3 linked regions of the Arabidopsis thaliana genome follow. The protein of the gene in region 2 purifies or fractionates together with the protein of the main gene of each other region. This does not show direct contact. Each region holds a gene or a part of one and is shown on either strand. Other genes may lie near its edges.

Region 1 (5,442 bases), on a different chromosome or scaffold from region 2:
GTTGACTTACGATTACCAGTAAGAACATTTCCTTGCATCACAACAATAAAGTATTTGAATGTAAATGTTTAGTTGTGTGATACTAATAAATATAGCAGGTTTGTTCAGTTTGGTGCAGATCAAGATTGCTACTGTGGTGCAGTGTGTTGCAGAAAAAAGCTAGGTGCAAAACCTTGCAAAACTAAGAACACAACCTTAGAAGAAGCTGTGAAGCCAGTGGCATGTAAAGTGACCTGGAAAACGCCCAAGGTAAATTTGAGCTTTGCCTTACTTTTTTTTAGTCATCCTGTGATTGCTAAACAGTAACTTGTCCTTTCAAACATATGGTTAGGGAAAAACTCGAGGGAGACGCATTGCTGGTTAGTATTAATTATTTGGCTCGATTATCGACAAGCTTCTCAATTCAGAGGTAAGAGAAACCAATTTGGATGCGTCAGGACAAGCTTGGAACAATCATAGCCAGAGGAAAATATGTTGCCGGGACTGCATTGGTGCGGTGATCTGGTTAGCACGTCCCATGAACCAAAAGTATAACTATCTTTCTTTTTTTCTCAAAAACCAATTTCTTCCACACCAAAGAACAGTATTACACGGCTCAGATGAAGGTTTTGACTCTAGTAGTTGACATTTTTCAGGTGTTTTGGAATCATTACACAATATGATGAGTTTTAAATAAGCACTTGGTATCTATTCATTTGACTTATTGCCAACACTGTTGTTCACATTCTATCTCAGTTTACGAAATCTAAAGAATGAACATTGACTTTGTCCAGGTCATGTATGAGGATGGTGTTACCGAGATCATCGACATGTGCAGAGAAGTTTGGAAGGTTGTAACTGCTTGATATTGTGACTGTTCCAAGTCTGATTTCATTCCCTTACATAGGATTACACTTGAATTGTCAAGAAATTTTGTAACCAACCAAACCGTGTCGGTTGGCAAATAGGTTTAGACTTTGTTGTTGTATGTATCCAACTTGAATCAGTAGTTCAGTAGTACATTACACTGTATGTGGAATCTTTGGACCAAATAAAGAAAAGTGTTTTTGGATTTTAAACCGGGGTTTTGGTTATTTAAGAGACAAAAAATCTCATACCCGGTTTGCTCTGTCTATAACTCGAGTTTGTTAAGCACGTGATTCTCCTTGGCAATGCTGCTATATCACTAGCCTACTGTCCGTTGTAGCGGATGATACCCACGCGCCGGTGACCGACAGTGGATTTGCCGTTACCGGTGGTAGGTAATGTGGGGTCGTAGCTCACCTACCTAACTAAATTTTCTTTTTCTTATGTTTAGTTGGAAAATAAGAAAAATATAAAAACTAGTTTTTTGTAAAGGAAAAGGATAAAATTACTATTATGGAAAAGATAAATTCCAAAAGTGAGGAAATATGTATTTAGCACAATAAAAAGTGATAGCAATGTGAGAAAAAAAACGTGATAACAGAAATGCTGTGCTAAATTTGGATTTCTTTGTTGAAAATATATTTACATTGATAAATATTATGTAATTAGAAAAAGGAAAATTCAAAATAGATGTGTAGAAAAACAACAATGTTGATAATATAATTTTTTATCTAAAGTTTTTACCGGTTACCAGTTACCACCAAAGTTGTTGGATCTCTATCTTCATTTTTAGAGATTAGTATAAATGAGTGAGTAAACAAACCAGAGAGACCAAACTTGCCTCTCCACCACCACTTCCTCTACCTATCTAATTCCGAATCTGGATTTGGATTTGGATCTCATTTCGATTCAACGATGAAGGTGGTTGATAAGATCAAATCCGTGACGGAGCAAGGCCAAACAGCTTTCTCCTTCGAGTTTTTCCCACCGAAGACAGAAGATGGCGTCGAGAATCTCTTTGAACGAATGGATCGATTGGTCTCTTATGGACCTACCTTCTGCGATATCACTTGGGGTGCTGGTGGATCCACAGCTGATCTCACTCTCGAGATTGCTTCTAGGATGCAGAATGTTATCTGCGTCGAGACTATGATGCATCTCACTTGTACCAACATGCCGATTGAGAAGATTGATCACGCGCTTGAGACGATTAGATCTAATGGAATTCAGAATGTGCTTGCTCTTAGAGGAGATCCTCCTCATGGACAAGATAAGTTTGTTCAGGTTGAAGGAGGATTTGCTTGTGCTTTGGATCTGGTGAATCACATTCGTAGCAAGTATGGTGATTACTTTGGAATCACTGTTGCTGGTTATCCTGGTAATCAAAATGCTCCCTTTTAATCAATTTCATTGTTGGTTTCGTTGTTGTGATTTTGATCTCTAATTGGGGATTTGTGTGTTATGAATCAGAGGCTCATCCGGATGTTATTGAAGCTGATGGACTTGCTACTCCTGAATCTTATCAGAGTGATCTTGCTTACTTGAAGAAAAAGGTTCAGATTTGTGTCTTGGTTTTGAATTTTGTGTGTTGAATTGTTTGTGTTGTCTTGATTTGATGGGTTTAGTGGATTGTGGCTTGTGGTACAGGTTGATGCTGGAGCAGATTTGATTGTGACTCAGCTTTTCTATGATACTGATATATTCCTCAAGTTTGTGAATGATTGTCGGCAAATCGGGATTAATTGTCCCATTGTTCCTGGAATTATGCCTATTTCCAACTACAAGGGGTTCTTGCGTATGGCTGGTTTCTGTAAGACCAAGGTATGTTGTGATCTCTTTCATCTGTGTGATGATATGGCTTGCTCTGTAGACACATGTCGTCTTTGTGCTTAAAGGCTTTAAGATGAGATTGAGTTTACTGCATCTATCTAGTTGCTTGGTGATATATATATAGACCCTTGGTGATGATGCCTTATGACTAATGTGTTCAGATATCATTTTTCTTTGATTTATATTCCACTCATGATTCTATTATTGCATAGATACCCGCTGAGCTCACTGCTGCCTTAGAGCCTATTAAGGATAATGACGAGGCTGTTAAAGCCTATGGAATTCACTTTGCAACAGAAATGTGCAAAAAGATTTTGGCCCATGGAATCACTTCCCTTCATCTCTACACATTGAACGTGGACAAATCAGCTATTGGGATATTAATGGTTTTCTTCTCATTTCCTTCTAAATTGGTTTCTGTGTAGTAATATTTAACACATGGTATTGTGTATACCGGAGAACCTAACAGTGGTGCTCAAATTGCAGAACCTTGGTCTGATTGATGAGTCAAAAATTTCTCGTTCTCTACCTTGGAGACGCCCTGCAAATGTTTTCCGTACTAAGGAAGATGTTCGCCCAATTTTCTGGTAACCTGCATTTTGTTTCTCTTGCTCGGAGTATTATTACAGATCTTTAACTTTAAGATATATTTGCGGAGGAATAATACTGTTACTTCATTTTTTATCTTTGCAGGGCAAACCGTCCAAAGAGCTACATATCTAGAACAAAGGGCTGGAATGACTTCCCACATGGACGTTGGGGTGATTCACACAGTGCAGCATACAGTACACTTTCGGATTATCAGGTACGTACCACATATTTATCAGTTTTCTGACATATCGACTTTATATTTTGAAAACTTGAATTCTGAAAGGCTTGTTTTCAGTTTGCCTTCTCAATTTGCTTAAATTGTATTTGCATATTGTTATTTAGCCCTACCATTATCACTTGTAAGAAGCTGCTTGCTTTGCTTGCCATCTCTTCTGCGTTTTTCATTGCCAATGAGTAGTGCTGATATAAATGCATGTGTTGATAGTTTGCGCGCCCAAAAGGACGTGACAAGAAGCTTCAGCAAGAATGGGTCGTCCCACTGAAAAGCATTGAAGATGTTCAAGAGGTAGGCTTTACTTTACGGACACTCGTACAAATTGTTTCGATCTCTTTCCCTCATACTCACTTGCACATTTTCATGTAAAAACTGTCACAAATCAGAAATTCAAAGAGCTCTGCATTGGAAACTTAAAAAGCAGCCCATGGTCTGAATTAGATGGACTCCAGCCAGAGACAAAGATCATAAATGAGCAACTCGGAAAAATCAACTCCAACGGTTTCCTGACCATTAATAGCCAACCATCAGTCAATGCAGCCAAATCCGATTCTCCAGCTATTGGTAAGAAAACTCAAACTTGTGATCACAAAGCATACCATAACGTTCCAAAAAAAAAAATCTTATTTGACTTGTGATTCATCTGTCATTTCTTAAAAACCTATTTAAACCCTCTAGAGCTTCTGTCTTAGCTTATAACATAATGTTTAAATTGCATTGGGAATATCTACTTGGCTTATAACAAAAATGTATAATTGCAATTGATACTTTGCAGGATGGGGTGGTCCTGGTGGTTACGTCTACCAGAAAGCTTATCTGGAGTTCTTCTGTTCAAAGGATAAGTTAGACACACTTGTGGAGAAATCCAAAGCTTTTCCTTCTATCACCTACATGGCCGTGAACAAATCAGAGAATTGGGTATCAAACACCGGTGAGTCCGATGTGAATGCAGTTACTTGGGGAGTGTTCCCAGCTAAGGAGGTTATTCAACCGACGATCGTGGATCCAGCCAGTTTCAAAGTCTGGAAAGACGAAGCGTTTGAGATTTGGTCAAGAAGCTGGGCTAACTTGTACCCAGAAGATGACCCTTCTAGAAAGTTGCTCGAGGAGGTAAAGAATCTTCTTCTTTTTTCTTCTCTTCTTTTCAGTGACCAGATTGGTTTAGCTGTAATGATGATGGTATGATCCAATCGAATATGCAGGTGAAGAACAGCTACTATTTGGTAAGCTTAGTGGACAACAATTACATCAATGGTGATATCTTCTCTGTCTTTGCTTGATCTCCGAGAAAACCACCGGCGAAGAGGAAACATTCGATTTCGAGATTTGTTTTGTACCTTTTAAAGTTATTTTTGATTCGTAATAACCTTACTTTGATGAATCAACAAAAACATCAGTTTGATTGCAATGAAAAAAATCGCCTTAGCGGTTTGTTCTTTCTCTCTTGTGTCAAAACAACATCACAAAATAGCTTTTAACAGAAATCAAGAAATGTTGGCATTTCTTAAAGACTTGGAAGTAACAAGACCAGAAGATGTCCGCATCAAATGCTCCTTAAGCATTGAAACACCAGACGCATCTGTCTTCAAAAGTGGTTGCACCAATTCCCACATCTTCTTCTTTTGAACCTGAAACAACAAAGAAAACACAGAACTTGAATATGCCATGACTTAAGTCTTGCAGTACTGAAATGATTAGTGCTTTGCAGGCTAAATGACCTTATTAGGAGGTGCAGGTTCAGGAAGCTGCTCGAGATCTTCTTCGTTACCAAACCAAACTCTATCTCCAGGAACAGAGCCTTCTGGTGGAACAAGAAGCTCAACATTTTCATGAGCTGCGTCAGATGCAGCTAAAAGCATACCACATGACTTAACCCCTCTCATATTCCTCGGCTTCAGATTAGCCAGCACCACCACTGATGCACCCTGCACAGAACCAAA
Region 2 (5,108 bases):
CTACACGAAATCCAGCATAACTCTATTGATCAGGAGAAAACAACATCAAAGAGAAGAATTCTCCTGAAGCAGCAGCAAAAGAGATCAAACGATGAGAACAAGAACCCCGCAGTTTCTCTTTCCGGATTAGGAAACACGGCGAGGTTGGTTAAAGAGATAGAGAAAGAAGCTGCAAATTGGTTCATGGAGTTTATAGAAAAGGCTCTGGAGAAAGGGATGAAGAAATGTAAAGGCACAAGTGATGCAGATGTTAAGAAGGTTCCACAGTCTCTGATTCTCAAAGTTGTAAACTGGGTGGAAGAAGAACATTCTGCTGATAACACGAAACGACCAGTTCATCCAAAAGCATCACATATCACTAGAAAGCTCAGAATCAAGTTGAAGAATCCTTAGACCATAAGCGCGATTTTGAGATGTTAAGTTGTTCCTTCTACGTCTACTGTGAAAAGGCTTTCAGTTTCCACTGCTTATAGAGAGATTTATTCATGGATTCTATTGTTATTAGTCAAGTTCATGTACACATCAATGAAACTAATAAGAGTTTGTGTTTATTAATCACACATTGTCATGTAGCTTTATTTGCAAAATGTATTGAAGATAAATTACTCTCAAAATCTAGAAATCCTAGAGACACAGTACAACTCCAGGTTTTCAAAGCAAAAGTGCAAATCATAAACCAAACTCGAGAAATAAGTGTAACCACCTGGTATGGTTTAGAGCCAGGCAGGGTTCTTGAGGGAAGTAACAACAGCCTTGACTTGCAAGTAATTGTTGAGACTGTAGATACCTTTCTCTCTACCAATGCCACTCATCTTATACCCTCCAAATGGAATTGATGCATCAAGTACATCAAAACAGTTGATCCAAACAGTCCCAACTCTGAGTGCTCGCATCAGCCGGTGTGCTGTGTCAAGATTCTGTGTGAACACTCCAGCAGCTAAACCGTACCTTGAGTTGTTGGCCCTTGCAATCACCTCATCAAGATCCCTAAGAAACATCAAAAGCCATTAGTAAAGTTTAATCAGAAAATGTCAACAAAGAGAAAGTTTTTGGTTTAGCATTTAGATTTGTACTTGAATTTCAGTATGGTTTGAACCGGCCCGAAAATCTCGTCTGTTGCTATGAGCATGTCATCCTGCAAAGTTCAACATGGTCCATATAAATCGATTTTCGCAAGAAAACTGTGACGGTAATAATCGGTTTACTTACTTTCACATCTGAGAAGACAGTAGGTTGAATGTAGTAACCCTTGGAACCAAGCCTGTCACCTCCAGCTTGTAATGTGGCTCCAGCCTCAACTCCATGTTTGATGTACTTCAGGATTTTGTTGAATTGCTCTGAGTCTACCTGTTTTTTTGTTCCAATACAAGTTGAAATGTTGTTCTGTTTATCACCGACAACATGGTTAGGCTACGGTTTCTAAATGATGGTATGACTACCTGGGGACCTTGCTCAATGCCTGACTTGAAGGGATCTCCAACATTTCGCTTGAGTGCACGAGCTTTAGCTTTCTCTACAAACTCATCATACACACGTTCATGTACAAATGTACGCGAACCAGCACAACAACATTGTCCCTACAGTTATACCTATCAGAAAAGGCTAGATTCTAAAGACTGTAGAACCATGAAACCATAAAAAAAACAGTACCTGGTTAAAGAACAAAGCGAAATGTGCAAGCTCAACGGCCTGATCCACATCAGCATCTTCACATACAATGAATGGTGACTTTCCTCCAAGCTCAAGAGTCACTGCCTTAAGGTTGCTTTTTGAAGCTAACTCAAGAATAATCTTCCCAACATCAGTAGACCCGGTGAAAGCAACCTGTAGAGTGCAGAGGATTTATCAGAAACTCTATAGAAGGCATAACTTTTGCCTTTTAATAGGATAATTTTTCAAAGTTTGTCTTTTAAACCTTATCAACGTCCATGTGACTAGCTATAGCTGCACCAGCAGTAGCCCCAAATCCAGAAACTATATTCACAACTCCATCAGGAAGTCCAGCCTGTGTCATAAAATTTCAGTTACTTGAGCAAAACATAACATCAATAAAACAGAATCTCACTGAAGAGCACATTGTTACCTCATGAAGTAGTTTCCCAACAAGAAGAGCAGATAGAGGAGTTTGCTCAGCAGTTTTGAGAACAACGGTGTTACCGCAAGCTAAAGCTGGTCCAAGTTTCCAAGAAAGCATGAGAAGAGGGAAGTTCCATGGGATGATTTGTCCAGCGACTCCTATAGGCTCATGTAAGGTCTGCACATGGTGTGGACCATCTCCTGGCATTGTCATTCCATGTATCTTGTCTGCCCAACCTGAGAAACTCATCGAAGAACAACATACAAAAATCCTTACAAAGATCATGAAAAAGTCATTAAGGTATACAATATGCATCAGTGGTTTCACTCACCAGCATAGTACCGGAACACCCTAGCAAGCATTGGTACTTCAATTTGAGCAGATTGTTCATAAGGTTTCCCATTATCCCAAGTCTCAAGAGCAGCAATCTCATCATTATGTTTCTCGATTAAATCAGCGAAACGAAACAGTATCTTTGATCTCTCCTGAAGAAATTAACAAAGCTAAGAGTCATGTCAAAAGCACAAATAAAACACAGAAGATAAGCACAAAACAACTTTGTTATATACATAAGCTGTCATTTTAGGCCATGGTCCTTCATCAAAAGCCTTTCGTGCAGCTGCAACCGCGCGGTTCACGTCTTCTGCATCACCTTCAGACACTTGAGCAATCACTTCTCCATTTCTTGGATCCAAAGTAGGGAAAGTTTTTCCTGTAGTTTTTAAACAATCTAGTCTCAATATTTTTACGAGCTTAAGATATTGACAAGGCTAAACATTTCTTACCTGACACTGCATCAACGAATCTTCCACCGATTAGAAGCTGTGTGTGTTCAACTTTCACTGGTGGAGTAATAGTGTTTTCGACAGCAGCAGCGAGGTTACTGTATCTTTGAGCTCCTCTGTTCATGCCTAAAGAAACAAACAAGAACGCATAGATTCGATCTAAATGAGACCAAGATCATCAAATCCATCGACAAGTAACCACAAAATCCGAAAAACTCGGAGATCATTGATCCGTATGAAAGTTAACAGAGACAATGAAAACAGAACGATCTCGATCATTATCAAGATAACTATGACAGAGAAGCAATGGCTCTACAAATGGATCGGATCGCATTTAGATACCTCTAAGAGAGAAGATAGAACGTGAGGAGGACATGAAAGAGCGAGAGAGCAGCGAAGAAACTCTTCTTGATGCCATGGCTAACTTTTTTTGTTCTTCTTCTCTTTCTCACGGTGATGGTCTCTTTTGTATTGGTGTGAGAACTCTGTTTATGGAAGCACACGAGTAATGATTTCGCATTTAACGAACATAAGAAAGAACCATTTCAGGGATAAAAATATCACATTCGTTCCCCACTTGTCGTCTACACAAGAGTCAAATCAAAACTCGTGTCGACACTAATAATACTACAATATCATTTTAATCATTCATTTCTATATATTATTTTAGAATTATTTTACTTAGTACTTAGTAGTACCATACCATAATCTTCGGAGTTATAGTTGTAGTTGTAGTTTTAGTATCATAGATATTACGCTAATAAAAGACATAGTAATACACTAATACTAGTACAATATTCAAATATGTTTTTATTTCATTATATTTCTGTCATTTATTGGATTTTTTTTTTCTGTGACAAATTTACATATATAATCACTAGTACATAAACTGGAATATTTTACAGAAATATATTTAAAATTAACATCATAGAAAATAACGATTTTTAAGTGTGAATAGAGATTATAATAAGAAAAAAGTGTGAATGGAGATTTAAAAAGTGTGGTACGGCATTGAAGGCGTAAGAGAAAAGTATTACGTCCTGATTATTTTGAAGAGATTTGAGTGGTTCACCTACCACACTAAAAATAGGTGATTATTTTGCTTATTTATCGTTATTCTATACAAATATTAGTAGGATAATTTACTAGTAATTATGGTATAAGATAGTGTCAACTTTGTGTGTTGGCATTAAAGATTACGTTTTTAATTGTTATTATGTGTTTGTATAGAGATAAGATCATATATTAGTCATCATTCTATACTAATAATATTTCTTGTTATCACTAAGATATGATCTTGATGACAATGTTACACAGTTACAATACGTATAACTCAGTTTGGACTTTGGATCCAACCTTACAAAAACAGAACAATTCGATGGACAAGGCTATATTTTAGCCATAATCTCCTTATTACTAGGTAGTTTCAAGTTTTTCAAGATTTATATACTATGTAATTGTTCTGTGTTAAAAAGTGTTGGTTTTTTATAGCTTTTTTTTTTGTTGACACAAAGCTTTTTTAAAAAAACAAATGACGACAAATTTATACAAAACTGACAGAAACTGGTTTAGTTAGCTATGGAAACTTATATGAGCGTTAAAAAAATGCTAATGCACATTGATTATCACGTTTTCATAGTTAGAAGTACGAAAAACCTTTAAAAAAATTTGGGATTTCCAAACATCTTTTCATGCATAACCAAATATATATATTTTCATAGTGCATAGACATTATCGATACGTAAACGTATTTCTTTTTGTTTCTTTATAGAAAATTCATTTTAGCATTTACTTGTTTATCTCTACCAACTTTTCTTTTAATAGATAGATAAAAAGAAGGGATTATTGTGTCATGACTTTTTTTTCTCCATAATGTTTTCGTATAAGATTCGACTATATATACAGTAATAGACCGTCCGTTCGAAATTATTAACACGAACTAGGAACAAACGTATGAAATTGAAACATCATTATCAAATGTTCGGTACTTCGTATATTATAGAAGTAGCTAGCTAGATTACTAGGATGATCCAAAATACCTCATAAACACTACACTTTGATAGGGAAAAAATATAGTTAACATAAACAAATATCGTCTCTACAAAGTAATGTATTTTTTGCTAAAAAAAAAGGAAGGTATATGTCAATTGAAAAATAATCAAACCAAATGTAAAAAAAAAAGTATATGCTAAAAAAAAAATGTACATGCTGCATTATGTTGTTTTTTGCGAAAAATAGGTCCTGAA
Region 3 (5,645 bases), on a different chromosome or scaffold from region 2:
TCTATAACTATCCCCGGTAACCGGAAATACACGACCCTGGAATGTGCTTATGCTTGCTGCAATGTAGCGACACTGACCTCGTTATCCCAGCTGGTGAATGATGCCCTAATAGTCTCTAAGCAAAAAGGTTTCGATGTGTTTTATGCCTCGGATGTGATGCAGAATGAGAGTTTCTTGAAAGAGTTGAGGTTTTATCCACTATGTCGACAGTCGCACTACTATCTCTACAATTACCGTTTGAGAAATGCATTGAAGCCATCAGAACTTGGGCTTATTCTTTAGTTTTGTTAAAACCACTGTTCCCGCTCCCCAATGTGAACAAACTATGATCATTAAACCAATGTGTAGCCTAAGATTCCTCTTCCTGGATATCATTTGCAAGTATTATAAACAAAAGTTTAAAGCCTTTTTATCTTTTTGCGTGTCTTTTTGTAGTTTTCCTCTGAACTATCAACACAAACAAAATTTGCCGAAGAATTGTTTGGTTTTGGATCTTTAAGGTAGTGAAACTGATGCCTTTTTATCAATAACATTACTTGCACATCAATACTGTTATGGTAGACAGATGTAAAAAACAAAATCCCAATATTTTAGAGAAAGTACAAAAGCAAATCTTGAAAGCAGTAGGAAACCGATATACTGTAGTTGTCTCTTGATTTTCTCAAAGATCAGCAAACACCGCGAATATGTCACCATTGATGTAATCGTTCTCCACCAAGCTTACCAAATAGTAGCTGTTCTTCACCTGCATTTTTGGATCAAAATGTCCATTAGTCATTTTAAATAAACCATTGTCAAAAACAATAACAAATATGATCAGATCAAGAAAAATATAGAACTTACCTCCTCGAGCAAGTTTCTGGAAGGGTCGGCTTCTGGGTACAAGTTAGCCCAGCTTCTTGACCAAGTCTCAAATGCTTCATCCTTCCAGACGTTGAAGCTAGCGGGATCGACAATGGTTGGTTGAATGATTTCCTTAGCCGGGAAAACTCCCCAAGTTACAGCATTCACATCAGCTTGGGCAGTGTTCGATACCCACTGTTCTCCTTTGTTCACAGCCATGTAAGTAATCGATGGCAAAGCTTTGCATTTCTCCACCACTGCATCTAATTTCTCCTTTGAGCAGAAGAACTCTAGATAAGCCTTTTGGTATACATATCCAACAGGACCTCCCCATCCTGCAAATCATACACAAGCACAAGTATCGATCAATCACGAATCAAAACTCTGTTTGCTATGAGAACAGAGATATAACAGGACTGATTCCTCACCAACAGTTGGGGAATCAGATCTCTCGGCGTTGACTGATGGTTGGCTATTGATGGTCAAGAAGCCTTTGGAGTTGACTTTTATCAGTTGCTCGTTTATTATCCTTGTCTCTGGCTGGAGTCCATCTAATTCAGACCAGGGACTGCTTTTAAGGTTTCCAAGGCAGAGCTCCTTGAATTTCTGTTATGTGACAGTTTTTTTGCAAGATTATTGTAAGCGTCTGCATCTTTACAGGTGAAAGTGAGGGAAATGTGTGGTAGTGAAAAAATTGTTCTACCTCCTGAATATCTTCAACACTTTTCAGTGGGACAACCCATTCTTGTTGAAGCTTCTTGTCACGTGCTCGCGGACGTGAGAACTGACAACAAAAGCATTTAGTTCAGCAAACAAGCTCACAAGAAGATGTTACATTTAACAATCTAGAGCAAATCAAAAAGACCAATCGAAGAAATACCCTTCAAAACCCCTTTGTTATGAAATCTTGAAAGAGAGTTGTGCAATTACAGATGATGTATTGTAGTACCTGATGATCCGAGAGTGCACCATATGAAGCACTGCGTGAATCACCCCACCGGCCTTGTGGGAAATCTTCCCAGCCCTTGGTTCTAGAAATGTAGCTCTTTGGACGGTTTGCCCTTCAAAAGATTAGAAGAAAGAACAAGTCTTATTTTCCCTGCAGAGTAAAATATGTGGCTAAGTATAATCAGAACGAGAGAAACTAAGCTCTGTTACCAGAAAATGGGGCGCACATCTTCCTTAGTACGGAAAACATTTGCAGGGCGTCTCCAGGGTAAAGAACGAGAAATTTTGGACTCATCAATCATACCAAGATTCTGAAACAACAACAAAATAGTAAAGCTACTCCACTATCAGTATCATGCTTTACATCAAGTAGAAAAAGTGAGGACCAACCATCAATATTGCAAGAGCAGATTTCTCCATGTTCAATGTGTAGAGATGAAGAGACTTGACTCCATGAGCCAACATCTTTTTACACATCTCTGTTCCAAGGTGAATACCATAGGCTTTCACAGCTTCTTCGTTATCCTTGATAGGCTCCAAGGCAGCCATCACCTCAACTGGTATCTACATTAATATAATCATATGTAAATTCATCTATCTTTTTTTCACAAAAAGCACAGCTGGTATCTACATTAATATAAAGAATTCTCTTTGAATAGCTATCCAACAAACACTTTCTCTGAAAACAATAATATAATCAAGTATCTCAATTTCATCTAGCTGATCACGAAACCTTAAATACACTTTTTTAAAAACATATCCTAAGCTAGCAAACAAACACCTTTATGGAAAGGCAACAAGCAATATCATTCATCTCCTAAAAGGTGATTCATTTGCAGGAACTGGTGTTTACTAAACGATCAAAACTTACCTTAGTCTTGCAGAAACCAGTCATACGCAAAAAGCCTCTGTAGTTATTAATAGGCATAATTCCAGGAACAATGGGACAACTAATCCCAATTTGCCGACAATCATTCACAAACTTGAGGAATATATCAGTATCATAGAAAAGCTGAGTAACAATCAGATCAGCTCCAGCATCAATCTGTTCCAAGACAAACCCAAATTCAAAAATTGATGCAGACATTTAAGAACAAAGCAAAACAAAAACAAACAAAACAAACCTTTTTCTTCAGATACTCAAGATCACTCTGATAAGCTTCATTAGACGCAAGACCATTCTCACCAATAACATCAGGATGCGCCTCTGAAATATCAAAACACATAAAAATCCAATCTTTAGCTACAAATCACACGAAACAAAGAAATCAAATTCGAATTCGAGACATTACCAGGATAACCAGCGACAGTGATACCAAAGTAATCACCATACTTGCTACGAATGTGATTAACAAGATCCAAAGCACAATCAAAACCACCTTCAACCTGAACAAACTTATCTTGACCATGAGGAGGATCACCTCTAAGAGCAAGCACATTCTGAATCCCATTAGATCTAATAGTCTCAAGAGCATGATCAATCTTCTCAACAGGCATGTTAGTACACGTAAGATGCATCATACTCTCAACACAAACAACGTTTTGCATCCTCGAAGCTATATCAAGCGTTAGATCTGCGGTAGATCCACCAGCTCCCCAAGTGATATCGCAAAACGTTGGACCATAAGCAACCATTCGATCCATTCTCTCAAAGAGATTGTCGACTCCATCTTCTGTCTTTGGTGGGAAGAATTCGAAGGAAAACGCTGTTTTGCCTTCGTCGGCTAATGACTGGATCTTATCTATCACCTTCATCTTCTTTTCGAAATGGAGAAGAAGAATGAGAGACAAAGGCGAGTTCTTTCAGGTTCTTCTACTCACTGCTTTATAGTAAACAGAGAGATTCCAAAATGTTTGGTGAATTTTAGACTTTACCTTACCCGTCCACTTCCTTATATTATTTTCATTTTTAAGACAAAATCATACTTTAAATAAAGTATAATTACATAATTTACATTTAATCATTGTTTTGTGCGAAAATCCATGTAGTTAGACAACATGAGTTACATTTTTATGCTTGACAAAAAAAAACATTTTTATTAAAGTGTTTATTATTCAAGAGATTTACCAAACCATTCTAAAGTGAAAAAAATGAAGAATCCGAGTTATTTGATATTAAGATAGTCGAGTTGATATTAGTAAACAAGATGAGTTACATAATTATTTTAAAGGAATGTGATTAGTAAAAGATTTACCAACCACAATTAGATTTGTCGTTATCAATCCCCAACCCCTGCAGTCTATGCTTTTTGAGTTGGTGAACCAGAACCACACACCCACATCACCCACCTACTACCAAAAAACCAATGATCCATCACTTTTGTTTAACAAAAATAATCTACTTTTACCAAAAAAAAAAAAAAAAAAAAAAAATCTAATTAAAATTTTCCGTTTTTCACTTACAGTGTATCTTTAAACTTTACAAAACTTTTTCCAATTTAAAACTGTTATGTTGTTTTAGTAATTTTTCACTTGTTTAACTCATTTTGCATTTGAAGGAATTTGAAACGTTAATCGCTAAAACAAAACTGGTCAGATTTTGCAAACACCGGCTTTTGTCGGCGACACCGACACAGTCACACTCACACAGATGCACGAATAAGAACAGCACATGCAAACAAGAACAAACCGGTCTTTGGATACAAATTTTTAAAAGCTAAACCGGATATGAGATTACCGGTTCTTACAAAGTCAATTACACACCACGAAGGTTCTTGCAAGACATCATCATTTGAGATCCCCATGAAAAAAGAAGGAAGGAGAAGAAAGTACAGATGTGGTTACACAAGTAGATATATGATATCTCTTATAATGGTTGTACAAACACAGGTCACAAGTTAGACGCAACAAACAATGTCACTGCACCAATCCCAGTCAGTCAGACCCGGGTTTTTTGGGATACCTTTAGTTTACCAAGACAGGTTATTTTGGTTTCTCAACTTCAAAGCAATCTGCAGAAACATAGCAGCCAGGGTAATTTAATACTCTATGCTTCTGGGAGTTTTAATGTTTCATTAAGAGAGTGAAGAGTATAAATCACCTGAAAACAATATTAGACAATCTCCCAGTCTTCTCTCGACATGTCGACAAACTCGGTAACACCATCCTCGAACATCACCTGGACCAAGTTTAAAGATGTTAACAGAGAGGTCTTAATTGAGAATGATTTTGCCAAGTTCGATGGTGAGGAACAAGTATTGGCTAATTGTAATACCGAGTGCTTTCTTGAATACTCATCAAAATGTCTAACGAGGCCAAAACACCTGAAAATCTCAAAAGATAAAACATTGGATGAGAAAAGCATAGAATGAGTCATAAAACTAATCCACGAGTTCAAAACTCAATAAATACCTATCACTCGTGGGGCGAGATAACCTGATCACCACACCAATGCAATTACGCGAACATGTATCCCTTTGACTAAGATTGTTCCATGATTTTCCTGGAGAAACATGGGAATCCAAATTACTTTCTTACAACCAAAACACAATAAGCTACTCTCGCAAATTGAGCAGAAAAAATCCAAACTTACCTGCATCTATGTGTCTATTTACAAGTCCATTTTGATGCACCTAACCAAAAGTGGGGAAAGAAAAAGAGTCACTTAGACCTCATCACACAAATTTTTCAGTGACTGTGAAACTATGCCAGGGCAAAGACGAGATATATATTTGATTCTTCTTTTCAGATAAAATTTGAAAATACCTTGGGCAGTGTCTGGGCCAATTCATGTGCCACTAGATTAAAAGCTTCATCCGAGGCTATCTTAGGTTTGCTAGGTTTTACACCAAGCTTCCTTCTGCAACCTACAGCCCCACAATGGCAGTCTTGATCTGCACCAAACTGAACAAACC

The links.
Region 1: the proteins of ALDH2B7 (region 2) and MTHFR1 fractionate together in Arabidopsis thaliana (co-fractionation; one large-scale study listed by BioGRID). This does not show direct contact.
Region 3: the proteins of ALDH2B7 (region 2) and MTHFR2 fractionate together in Arabidopsis thaliana (co-fractionation; one large-scale study listed by BioGRID). This does not show direct contact.

What each region holds. Positions count from the first base shown.
Region 1 is NC_003074.8:22,149,542-22,154,983, forward strand, and holds MTHFR1 (methylenetetrahydrofolate reductase 1), read left to right. Parts: upstream 1-1,622; 5' UTR 1,623-1,761; coding exon 1,762-2,224; intron 2,225-2,316; coding exon 2,317-2,399; intron 2,400-2,493; coding exon 2,494-2,667; exon of another isoform or gene 2,668-2,888; coding exon 2,889-3,062; intron 3,063-3,162; coding exon 3,163-3,263; intron 3,264-3,369; coding exon 3,370-3,481; intron 3,482-3,712; coding exon 3,713-3,793; coding exon of another isoform or gene 3,794-3,871; exon of another isoform or gene 3,872-3,888; coding exon 3,889-4,066; intron 4,067-4,277; coding exon 4,278-4,612; intron 4,613-4,702; exon of another isoform or gene 4,703-4,704; coding exon 4,705-4,782; 3' UTR 4,783-4,942; downstream 4,943-5,442. Other genes in the region: histone-lysine N-methyltransferase ASHH4, read left to right, coding at 1-18, 99-249, 332-359, 438-528, 636-672; AT3G59980 (Nucleic acid-binding, OB-fold-like protein), read right to left, coding at 4,987-5,130, 5,221-5,427. UniProt on the Arabidopsis thaliana protein: The probable reversibility of the MTHFR reaction in plants suggests that they can metabolize the methyl group of 5,10-methylenetetrahydrofolate to serine, sugars and starch.
Region 2 is NC_003070.9:8,411,525-8,416,632, forward strand, and holds ALDH2B7 (aldehyde dehydrogenase 2B7), read right to left. Parts: upstream 3,363-5,108; 5' UTR 3,281-3,362; coding exon 3,205-3,280; intron 2,989-3,204; coding exon 2,863-2,988; intron 2,790-2,862; coding exon 2,647-2,789; intron 2,563-2,646; coding exon 2,409-2,562; intron 2,314-2,408; coding exon 2,084-2,313; intron 2,006-2,083; coding exon 1,916-2,005; intron 1,825-1,915; coding exon 1,651-1,824; intron 1,578-1,650; coding exon 1,440-1,577; coding exon of another isoform or gene 1,348-1,439; coding exon 1,210-1,347; intron 1,136-1,209; coding exon 1,074-1,135; intron 988-1,073; coding exon 714-987; 3' UTR 527-713; downstream 1-526. Other genes in the region: AT1G23790 (dicer-like protein (DUF936)), read left to right, coding at 1-393.
Region 3 is NC_003071.7:18,260,202-18,265,846, reverse strand, and holds MTHFR2 (methylenetetrahydrofolate reductase 2), read right to left. Parts: upstream 3,659-5,645; 5' UTR 3,547-3,658; coding exon 3,084-3,546; intron 2,999-3,083; coding exon 2,916-2,998; intron 2,837-2,915; coding exon 2,663-2,836; intron 2,356-2,662; coding exon 2,182-2,355; intron 2,103-2,181; coding exon 2,002-2,102; intron 1,905-2,001; coding exon 1,793-1,904; intron 1,628-1,792; coding exon 1,547-1,627; intron 1,450-1,546; coding exon 1,272-1,449; intron 1,179-1,271; coding exon 844-1,178; intron 746-843; coding exon 662-745; 3' UTR 501-661; downstream 1-500. Other genes in the region: histone-lysine N-methyltransferase ASHH3, read right to left, coding at 4,844-4,909, 5,006-5,054, 5,143-5,233, 5,324-5,363, 5,497-5,644.